Linked DNA regions of Caenorhabditis elegans. The protein of the gene in region 2 interacts with the protein of the main gene of each other region in a biochemical or structural test. Each region holds a gene or a part of one and is shown on either strand. Other genes may lie near its edges. The genes, in order: chn-1 and daf-2.

Region 1 (4,895 bases), on a different chromosome or scaffold from region 2:
TGTTGATGTTCCTGAAGTTCTTTGTTTTTCTGCATTTCATCTCGTACATTATCAATCAGATTATTCAAAAATCCACGTTTTGGCGCTGGATTACTGTAGTCTGAAAGTTGGAAATAGTTAGAAATGAAAACCTATAGACATTGCCTACCTCTGAAAGTAACAATAGATGGCTGAAATTGAAGTCTTGTCCGAGTTAATCGTATCCCGTTTCCACAAATTCGTGACAACATCTGAAGAATAATTTTTCACATTATAAGTTCAATAAAGAAGAGGCAAGAATGGAACTTGTGCGGGAAATATTCAAATAATAAATTTAATTAATTAATTTCGGTTTAATTATAATTTCTTCTGAACCATTGAAAGCTTTTCAGATCTAAACATCAAGGATTTTTAAACAGTTATTCTAAAACTCTGCAAACAAAAATAATAATGCCCGGAGAATGAAAATAACCATTTTTTGTGAACAAAAATTCTTTTTTGCATTTTATTTCAACAAATTTTCGAACAGAATTCAGCTTAAACAGCTTCGAAATTGAAAAAACGGAAAAAAATGCCGTCTAAATTTCACAACGACACTCCGCAATCCCGCACTCCCAGTGATGCAATTTTGAAAACTTCCCGATTTTATTTATTTTATTTACAAAGTCACGTAGATAGTAGGTTATAGACCTTCCTATTGGTATAAAAAAAATTGTAAAATGAAAAGAAAAGCATCACACCTCTTTATTTCATACAATATTTACAGAATCTCACTTTTAGCAGTAAAATTGAGAACTAAGCGACAAGTTGAAGTGCACTTTCTACCAGAAATTCAATGGAATTTTGAAAGAAAACTAAAGCTAAAAAATACACCAAGATACAAATACCGGTAGAACAGAAAAGGAGGGTACAGCGTTCAAACAATAAAAGTTTAAAAATCCGAAAAAAAAATGCAAAGAACTGAAACATGTAGAAAAGTGAAGAAGTTGCATTGAGAAGCAGCCAGGAATGTTTAATGTTGAATTTTTCAATATTCTGAATAGTATTTAAACCATGCCTCCGGGTTCATATTTAGCCCATGGGTTGTCGTCAAGAAACTTTTCAATAACCTGAAAATCATTAGAAATTAACTGAATTTATTACAGGGTGGGCCAAAAGTATGGTAACACATGAAGCGCTCTTTTACATGAGCTTTTCGCGTGACTGCCACGTCATACGTACATTCTTCTATCGAATACTGATAGCTGAATAAATTTCCTTCAATTTGACTCAAAATTTGTAATGTTTCCCAATAAGGTGCGATCTTTATCACCTCGACAATTTGGCGAACCCTTTCGAAAAAACGGTAATTTGGCACGCGGCACTTCCCACACAAACACACCTCCCATGCACGCCAATAATTTTCAGATGTATGATTTTTATGTTAAATTTAAAGTTAAAGAAGTGAAGAAGCGTTTTTAATTGTTTTTGTGGCATATAAAAATTTTCTGTGTCGACACTGGCGCCTAGCAAGAACCTTTGAATATTTCATGAATTCAACTTTGCGAAATTTACTCAGTTTTTTTGGTTTCGCAAGGCGTAACGTCCCACAAAATCATCCGAGCTCAATTTTCTAAAAAAATTCTGGAAAGTCAGGTCAAAACGTCTCGAAAAATACTAAAATGAATTTTTCTGCATACTGCTACTCGCCGCTCACATCCATCTTTCTGGCGACTATGCCATTCAAGACTTAACCTACTGCCGCAGTCCATGACAGAAATACCGTGATAGAAATTATTTGGATTTTTGTTTTTATAGAATCTCTAGACCAAGAGCATTCTTTGAACTATAAAAACTTGTAAGGCACTTGATGGATTCCTCGAGAAAAATGTAGAAATCCCGCAGAATGCCGACTTGCGTGCCATAAAGGTCGTGATCTCAAAAGTTCTGAAGGCCTGCAGCGATGCGGATGGGAATATTTTGAAAATTCAAAACGTTCATCTGGTCAGTATTTTATGGAGAACAAAACTTGTAACAATTGATGTAGTAACTCTTTCCACTAGTAAAGTTATAGAGCTGCAAACGTGTTACCATACTTTTGGCCCACCCTGTATAAATTTCCAACCTCTTTCAGTGCATAATTCGGAATAATTTCATTTTCGGTAAGTGGTTTTCTTGTGACTGGATCGAAATGGCCAATTCTTCTCAAATGCTGCACAATTTCTTCTCGGTCATACGTGATTCCAGATGGAACTATCACCGGCTCTTTCATCAGTTCCAGTGTAATTTTGCCGCAGAGCATCTCAGGAACCTCCCTGTTTTGCCGTTTTTCTTGTGTCTAAAAAATGATATTTTGATTCTCTTTGATCTCTCGTGATTTAGGAAATATTACACTCACGATAGTTTAGTATGCTTAATTCTGAAAGTATATTTTGAACCGGTTGAAAAAAGTTGGCAGGATTCGGAAACTCGTTTGGTTCGAATTAGAAACGCTTAGATATAAGAATTTGGGAATAGTATTACTAAAGTTTCAAAAAACTTTCAAGAAAAAGTATTTACCGCTAAAGTGAGTTCGGTTAGACGTTTTTTAGCCATATCTGCTCTTTGCAACTCCTCTGGGTTTTCAGAATTTTCTTGACGATCCTTTTCGATCAAGCTCTCCAAATACGTGTGAAATTCAACGTCTTGTACAATTCGCTTTGACTCCTCCTCCTCGTACTTTTGATGGCGTGCCCGTTTGAGGGCGTTCTCAATATCTGGAGCGTTCTGAAACCACAATTCCGTTTTAATAAACGCCGTTCAAAAATTTCTACCGTGATAACAGCATTATGGTAGAGCGCTTTGGAGAGACAGCTTATTGCTTCACTGTACTTTTTGCTCTGTAGAAATACATTTCCCAAGAAGTATAAAGGCTGAAAATGAATTGAATAACTAATTAACTTCAAGAGTTGAAAGCTTACTTTCACTTCGTTTGGGCTCAGTTCCAGTGCCCGTTTGCAGTCTTCTTCAGTCATCTTGAGGTTGTTAAGCTAGAATATATATTACAAAAGTTAAAGAAAAGTTTTAATCGAAGTATAAATACCTGAAAGTAACACATTGCTCTGTTCTGATAGTATTTCGGCAGAGGATTTACTTTGATGGCTTTCGAATAGTGATCAACGGCATCGTCATATCTGAAAGTTCAAAGACATGGGATTTATTACACATAAATGAAAATACCTTTTATTCATATAACACTTTTTGCCATTAGTATTATGTTGTTCGGCGCCGCTTGACATGCTGCAAACGCTGAAAATAAGCGGAAATTGTTCTAAAAATCGATTTTGAAAAGCATGATGCGGATAGAGTTGCGCGTAAGCTCTGACGCATTGTGTGCAAATTAAGCTTGCGGTGTTTGCGGTGTACTCGCTCCAAGCCAAAATTTGTTTTTTGCCGCAATTTTTTATATTTATGTTTTTTTTTAACAGTTTAATTTTTTTTTTTCAAATTCTGCTCCAATTTTCGTTTTAGTTCAGGGTATGGTGCAAACCAGAAAATCATATGGAACTCCATCCAATTACATACCAACATCGAATAAACGTAGGAGTCTCGATAGTTCATCAAGGCTTTATCCTGATCTAACTGAACAAATAAGTAATGCAAGAACCGAAAAGACTAGCGAGCAACAAGATGAAAATGATTTCACAGATGCGGATTTGAGTTTCAGTAGCTCACATGGATCAGAAGAATCCGATGTGTCATGTAACGAAGTGAATGAAAAATGGAAATACTGGACTGTTATTGGAATAGTTTTCATTGCGATTGTTGTGGGAGCATTGATTAAAGGAAGCAAAGTTACGGTTGGTAAAACTACACGCGGTATCGGAATAATTAACAATTTTCTAGACTAACGAATCGTATGAAAGTTACATCAAATCAGTCCGATCTGTCATCAAGAACGAGTTTCCTACAATTTCGAAAGAAAATCGGGATCTCTTAAGACTAATCGGGCAGAAAATCTATTTGGAACCAGAAAATCATGCTCCGTTGGTTGTTCTTGTTGGGGGAACACCGGCCAAACAAATTGCCGAAGCTGTGAATCGAGCTGTTCAAGATGCTAAAAGTGATGAGCATACTACGGCAGGAAAATCATCAATTAGAGTGGAAAGTGACACTGATAGAGCCGAGTTGCATGCGAATTTGCAGGAAAGTGAGTGATTTCAGAACCTCATAATATTTTATGTTTAAATAACTTTTTAACATCTCCAAAGTAATGTGAAAATTCGCTGAATTTTGAAAATATAATGCATTATTTCAGTCCTCGGACCCGCTCTTATTTCACAATCATCACCTCGAACAGCTGTGATTTTGGATGTAGACCTGCTAAAATGGGATGCAGTTCTTGTTCTTCATGCGTTCTCAGATCACGGAAAATATCCAGTTCCCAAAACAATACTTTTTCTGACTGTTTCTTCACAACAAGATTCAACGATGGACATTGCCAACACAAGTTGTGATGAGAAAATGGTCCAGTAAGTGGTTTTTGTAGATCAAAATAGTTAAGAAATTTTTTGATCTACAATTTTCGCACTTACAGATTTCTAACGAAACGCTGGATTGAGAACGGCGGCTCTTCAGACAACATTCCACCGATTATTGCACGAATTTCTTATTTTTTATGTGTTTAAAATTTTGCCGGTACATTACCTTCATTTTTCACGGGTTTTTATTTTTTAATTCTGTAATTTAATCCAAGGTTTTACAAGATCAGCTAAATAGTTCAAGGAATTCTGTGTTCATTGAATAAAAATAGTAAAAGTTTTACATGTTCGTATAAATCTCGTATATTCGCTTTAAAAATGCTGTCACTATTTTATTTTTTTATTGATCTGTTTTCTAAAATGATTAATACAGGATGCGTAGACGTGAGCCTGGGAGAGATGTTAAACGTGCAGCTG
Region 2 (4,857 bases):
TGGAAAAAAAAAATGTTTCTCTCAAATTTCTTAGAATTTTCAAATTTTCAGGAATTTTTGAAACTGGGCACTTTTCGATAGTTTTTTAAAAAATTTTCAGATTAGGCAGTATTTGCCGGAGTTGGTAGAAAGATTTCTGGCAAAGTCGGCAATTTGCTGGAATTGAAATTTCCGGCAAAATCGGCAATTTGCCATTTTTCAAATTTTCGGAAAATTTGGCATTTGCCCAAATTGAAAAATTTTAAATTTTCGGCAAATCGGAAAATTGCCGGAATTGAAAATTTCCAGAAAATCGGCAAATTGCAGAAATTGAAAATTTCCGGCAAATCGGCAAATTGCGGGAATTGAAAATTTCCAGCAAATCGGCAATTTGCCGGAATTGAAAATTTCTGGCAAATCGGCAATTTGCCGGAATTAAAAATTTCCAGAAAATCGGCAAATTGCCGGAATTGAAAATTTCCAGAAAATCGGCAAATTGTCGGAATTGAAATTTCCGGCAAACTGGCAATTTCCCGAAACTGAAAATTTCCGGCAAACAGCAAAGTCGGCAATTTGCGGTTTTCCAAATTTTTGGCAAATTCTGCAAACCGGCAACTAGTCGATTTGCCGGAAAAACGGCAACTGCCGAAAGTTTCGGTAAATTGTGGGTTTGCGTAATTTAAAAAATCCCCTCAAAAAATCCGGCGAATTGATATCCGGCAAAATTGCCGGAATTGAAAATTTCCGGCAAATCGGCAAATTGCCGGAATTGAAAATTTCCAGCAAATCGGCAATTTGCCGGAATTGAAAATTTCCAGAAAATCGGCAATTTGCCAAAAATCGGCGTTCAAAAACTGACAAAAAATTCAGAATAAATTGCGATTTTTTCAAAGAAAAACCAAATTTTGACCAATAAAAAAATTCTGAACACTGTCAATTCCATATCATGTAATAAAACAACGAAAAAAAATGCATCACATGACCTAATCTTTGTCATTTTTCATGAAATCGTTGATTTTTGGTCATTTTAGAGGTGTTTTTGGTCGAAAAAATCAAAATTTTTGCCAGATTTTGAATAGATTTCATGAAAAAAAACGATTTTTATAGAGGATTTGGTGTCAAAAAATTGTGGAAATTATTAGATTTGGGGAATAAAAATCCAATTTTTTTCAGATAAAAAATTAAAATCTAAAGCGAAAAAATGGCCAAAAAATGGCCCAAAAAATCTACATTTTTGCCCATTTTTCTGGAGTTTTCCCAGAATTTTTTCGGTTTTTGGGGTTAAATTTCCGGGAAAACATAATTTTTTTAATTTTTTAATTATATTTTCGGAATTTTACCGCCAAAAACTCATTTTTAATGGCAAAAAAACATAGAAAAATGGTTCAATCAATTGAAAATTTCAATTTTGTCCAGAATTCAATTTATATTTAATTAATATCCAATTTTTCACATTTTGGTAGTTTATTTACCATTTTTTTTTTGATTTTGGCCACAAAATGTACCTAAATTAACAAAAAAAAGTTGGTAAAACTGGAGATTTTAGTGAAATCTGGGGGATTTTCCGGGATTTTTTTTTCGGTTTTTGGGGTTAAAATTCCGGAAAAAACTCAATTTTTTCAGTTTTTTATCGAATTTTCGGCATTTTAACGTCGAAAAACTCAATTTTAATGGCAAAAAAACATAGAAAAAAGAACGAAGGGTCAATTCAAATGTTTTCGCGTTTCGTTTTTTGATCTTTGAGTTGTTGTTGTTGTACCCCATCCGCCGCCGTTTTTTTTTTCAAATTTATTTTTTTCCCGCCAAAAAAACCTAAAAATCAATAATTTAAACTATAAAATAGCAAATTATTACGATTTTTAATTGAAAAATTGAGCAAAAAATTGACATTTTTTGTAAAATAAACACAAAAAAACCAATTCCCACGTGGCACAGATTGTTTGCTCATCGTTTGTCGGTGTACTTTTTGGAAAATATTTATTTTTAAGGGGGTATTTCTGATTGAAAGAGCGAAAAAAAGCGAAAAATGAGTGAAAATTTGGAAGAAATCGAAGAAAATTGGGCTAAAATTCGATTTTTTTCGCAAAAATTTGATTTTTGAGCCAATTTTTTGTAATTTTTTGTATTTTTTTTCACCAAATTTTGCTGAATTTTACTTGAAATTTTAGAATTTTGGATTATAAAATCCAAAATTTTTCGATATTTTTTGCAATTTACTGGTCAAAATTGCGGAAAAATGGTTCAGAAATTGGCGAAAATGGGAATTTTCATCAATTTTAAAGCGATTTTTGGTTATTTTTTGAGATTTTCCCTAAAAATCTCCAAAATTCTGCCTAAAACATCAGAAAATTCGTTATTTTTATTGCTAAATTGCTGCAAATGGCCCAGAGATTGACCGAAGTGTGATTTTTTAAATAAATTTTTATCAATTTTTATCAATTTTAAAGCGAAAAAACCAATTTTCACATTAATTTTGTTGGTTTTTAACGAAATTTTTGGGATTTTCTCGATTTTTTGTGTGATTTCGCTAAAAATTGTGTGTATTTTTAAAACAAAATCGCTTAAAATCGATATTTTCAAGTAATTTTTTCAATTTTTAATTGCTTTTTTGAGCAAATTTTGTGGTTTTGTCTGTTGAAATCTTTTAAAAACCTTATTTTTCTCGATTTTTTCCTAGATTTTCCACTTTTTTTCACGAAAAACTTCGAATATCCGTTATTTTTTCACAAAGGCAGCCTAAAAGTGCATTGAAAAGACCTTGAAAATGGTCAAAAATGACGTGAAAAGATCCAATTGGCACCGTGCCAAGACTATTGCAACAAATTCGGCGTAATTTGAATTGGATAAATGGAATTTTACGGGCGGAAATTGGGAAAAACTGGAAAATGACGGGAAAATCGTTCTGTGAGCGAAGAATCAGATGGTTTAGCAGATTTTTAAGGTTAAATTTGATAATTTAGACAAAAAAAAAGACTAAAATCGGCTGAGAAATGAAGAAAATAGCAAAAAATCGGTGAAAAATCAAAAAACCCGCCTGAATCTCCCTATTTTTACGATTTTTGTGGGAATTTTAGTGGAAAAAAAGAGAAAATTACTTACTTTTGTCGAAAAAATGATAAAAATCCGTGAAAAATAGCTGGAATATTGAGAAAAATCGAAGAAAAATGTGAAAAACGAAATTCAAAAATCAAAAACGAAAGCGCGGGTACGCAAACACCGCTGCACACATTCGCAGGTACAGTACCCCGGGAAAATGTTTAAAATCAGTTAAAATGTCGATTTAAAGCTTTTTTTCAATGGAAAAATACAGTTTCTACATTTCATAAATTGAAAACTTGAATTTTCAGTTCAAAACATTGCAAAAATGCACAAAAAACATCTCTAAAAATGGTGAAAACTCTAAATTGACAATGGAGCGCACTTGCTACTACCAATATTTTTTGCAAAAAAAGCGACATTTGACCGGTTTGAACTCTTTTGAACCCCACGAAATTAGGGAAAAACACCAGGAAAACAAGGCCGAAAGAAGTAAACAACATTTCCGCCATGAAAAAGATAGAAAAAGATGAAATCTGATGGTCGTTTATCATCTTTTAATGCACTTTTACTATTTCTACACAGATTTCTATAGAGAGGAGGCAATGTCATTGATAGATATCCTTATCAATTAATCCGCCGATATTATTTGGGAACATTCAAGAAACAAAGAAACTAGGAAAAATAGAGAGAAAAACAAGAATTAGAAGGTTTGGTAAAAAATTTAAAATTCGAGAATGACGTCACTACATAGCTCCTTCGTTTCTTTGCATAACTCTAATTTTTGATCAGAAAAGTGTCAGAAAAGTTTCGCGCCATTTGCGTAATTATTTTTTTTTTCTCAAAATAGCAGGAAAAAGGAGGGAAATTCGACTTTTTCTGCCAGAGGGGAAGAGATTCGAGATTCAGCTTCAATTTCCAGGTCGTATATCTAGGCACGTATCTCAGCGGGAGAAATAGTTACAAAAATGTTGTCAATGAAGTACTTGTAGAGCTCAAAATTTCCTACAATTCACTAGTGGAAAATTTTTTGCTAACACTCTTCCTCAATGAGATAAACGGCCGTAAATGAGGCTCTGCCCTTCGCGCGGTTTCAAACTCAGCACAGCTTGGCGCTTATTTCTCTGCGAGGGAGAAAGTTACAAAAAATTTGTTAACTAGCAATTTGTAGAGCTTCATATTTGCCACAATTCACTAGTGAAAAATTTTTTGCTAGCATCTTTCCTCAATGAGATAAACGGTCGTAAGTAAGGCTCTGCCGCACTGACCTTTCGCACTTTGCACAGCTTGGCGCTCATATCTCTGCGGGGAAAAAAGTTGCCAAAAAGTTGTCAACTAACAACTTGTAGAGCTTAAAATTTTCTACAGATTACTAGTTTGGAATTATTTGCTAGCACCTTTCCTCAATGAGATAAACGGTCGTAAGTAAGGCTCTGCCGCACTAAGCTCTCGCACTCACCACACTTAGACGCGTGTACCTCAGCGAAGAGGAAAGATAATAAAAAGTTGTTAACTAACAACTTGTAGAGCTTAAAATTTGCTATATTTTTGTGTGAAAACAGTTTTTCATAACTCTGCTCCACACAGATATACACACATTTAAAATTAGATTCACAAAGTCTTGCAAACCTAATTTAGCACTCCTAAACTGTAAATCAGCAATTTTTTTTGTTAAAATTTCCACTAAAAAGTTATAACAATATGTTATTCAAAAGAAAGAACGCAAAATAAACTATAGTATAAAAACTAGACAAACATATTTTGATGATATTTTAAAGTCAGAAAAATAGATGACAAAATGGCATCTGGATTTGCTCGGTGAGTCAAAGTGTACTTTAAAAG

Evidence for each region.
Region 1: of the proteins of daf-2 (region 2) and chn-1, one has a biochemical effect on the other in vitro, tested with the Caenorhabditis elegans proteins (2 studies listed by BioGRID, with this or other methods).

Annotation. Positions count from the first base shown.
Region 1 is NC_003279.8:6,180,611-6,185,505, forward strand, and holds chn-1 (E3 ubiquitin-protein ligase CHIP), read right to left. Parts: upstream 3,247-4,895; 5' UTR 3,237-3,246; coding exon 3,178-3,236; intron 3,132-3,177; coding exon 3,041-3,131; intron 2,988-3,040; coding exon 2,919-2,987; intron 2,871-2,918; coding exon 2,772-2,870; intron 2,725-2,771; coding exon 2,518-2,724; intron 2,297-2,517; coding exon 2,084-2,296; intron 1,089-2,083; coding exon 1,026-1,088; 3' UTR 704-1,025; downstream 1-703. Other genes in the region: putative mitochondrial import inner membrane translocase subunit tin-44, read right to left, coding at 1-100, 149-230; T09B4.2 (Torsin-1B), read left to right, coding at 3,477-3,797, 3,844-4,147, 4,256-4,469, 4,535-4,625; GPI mannosyltransferase pigv-1, read left to right, coding at 4,853-4,895.
Region 2 is NC_003281.10:3,037,704-3,042,560, forward strand, and holds the start of daf-2 (Insulin-like receptor subunit beta), read right to left. Parts: upstream 3,144-4,857; 5' UTR 3,079-3,143; intron 1-3,078. UniProt on the Caenorhabditis elegans protein: Insulin receptor-like tyrosine kinase which regulates metabolism, controls longevity and prevents developmental arrest at the dauer stage.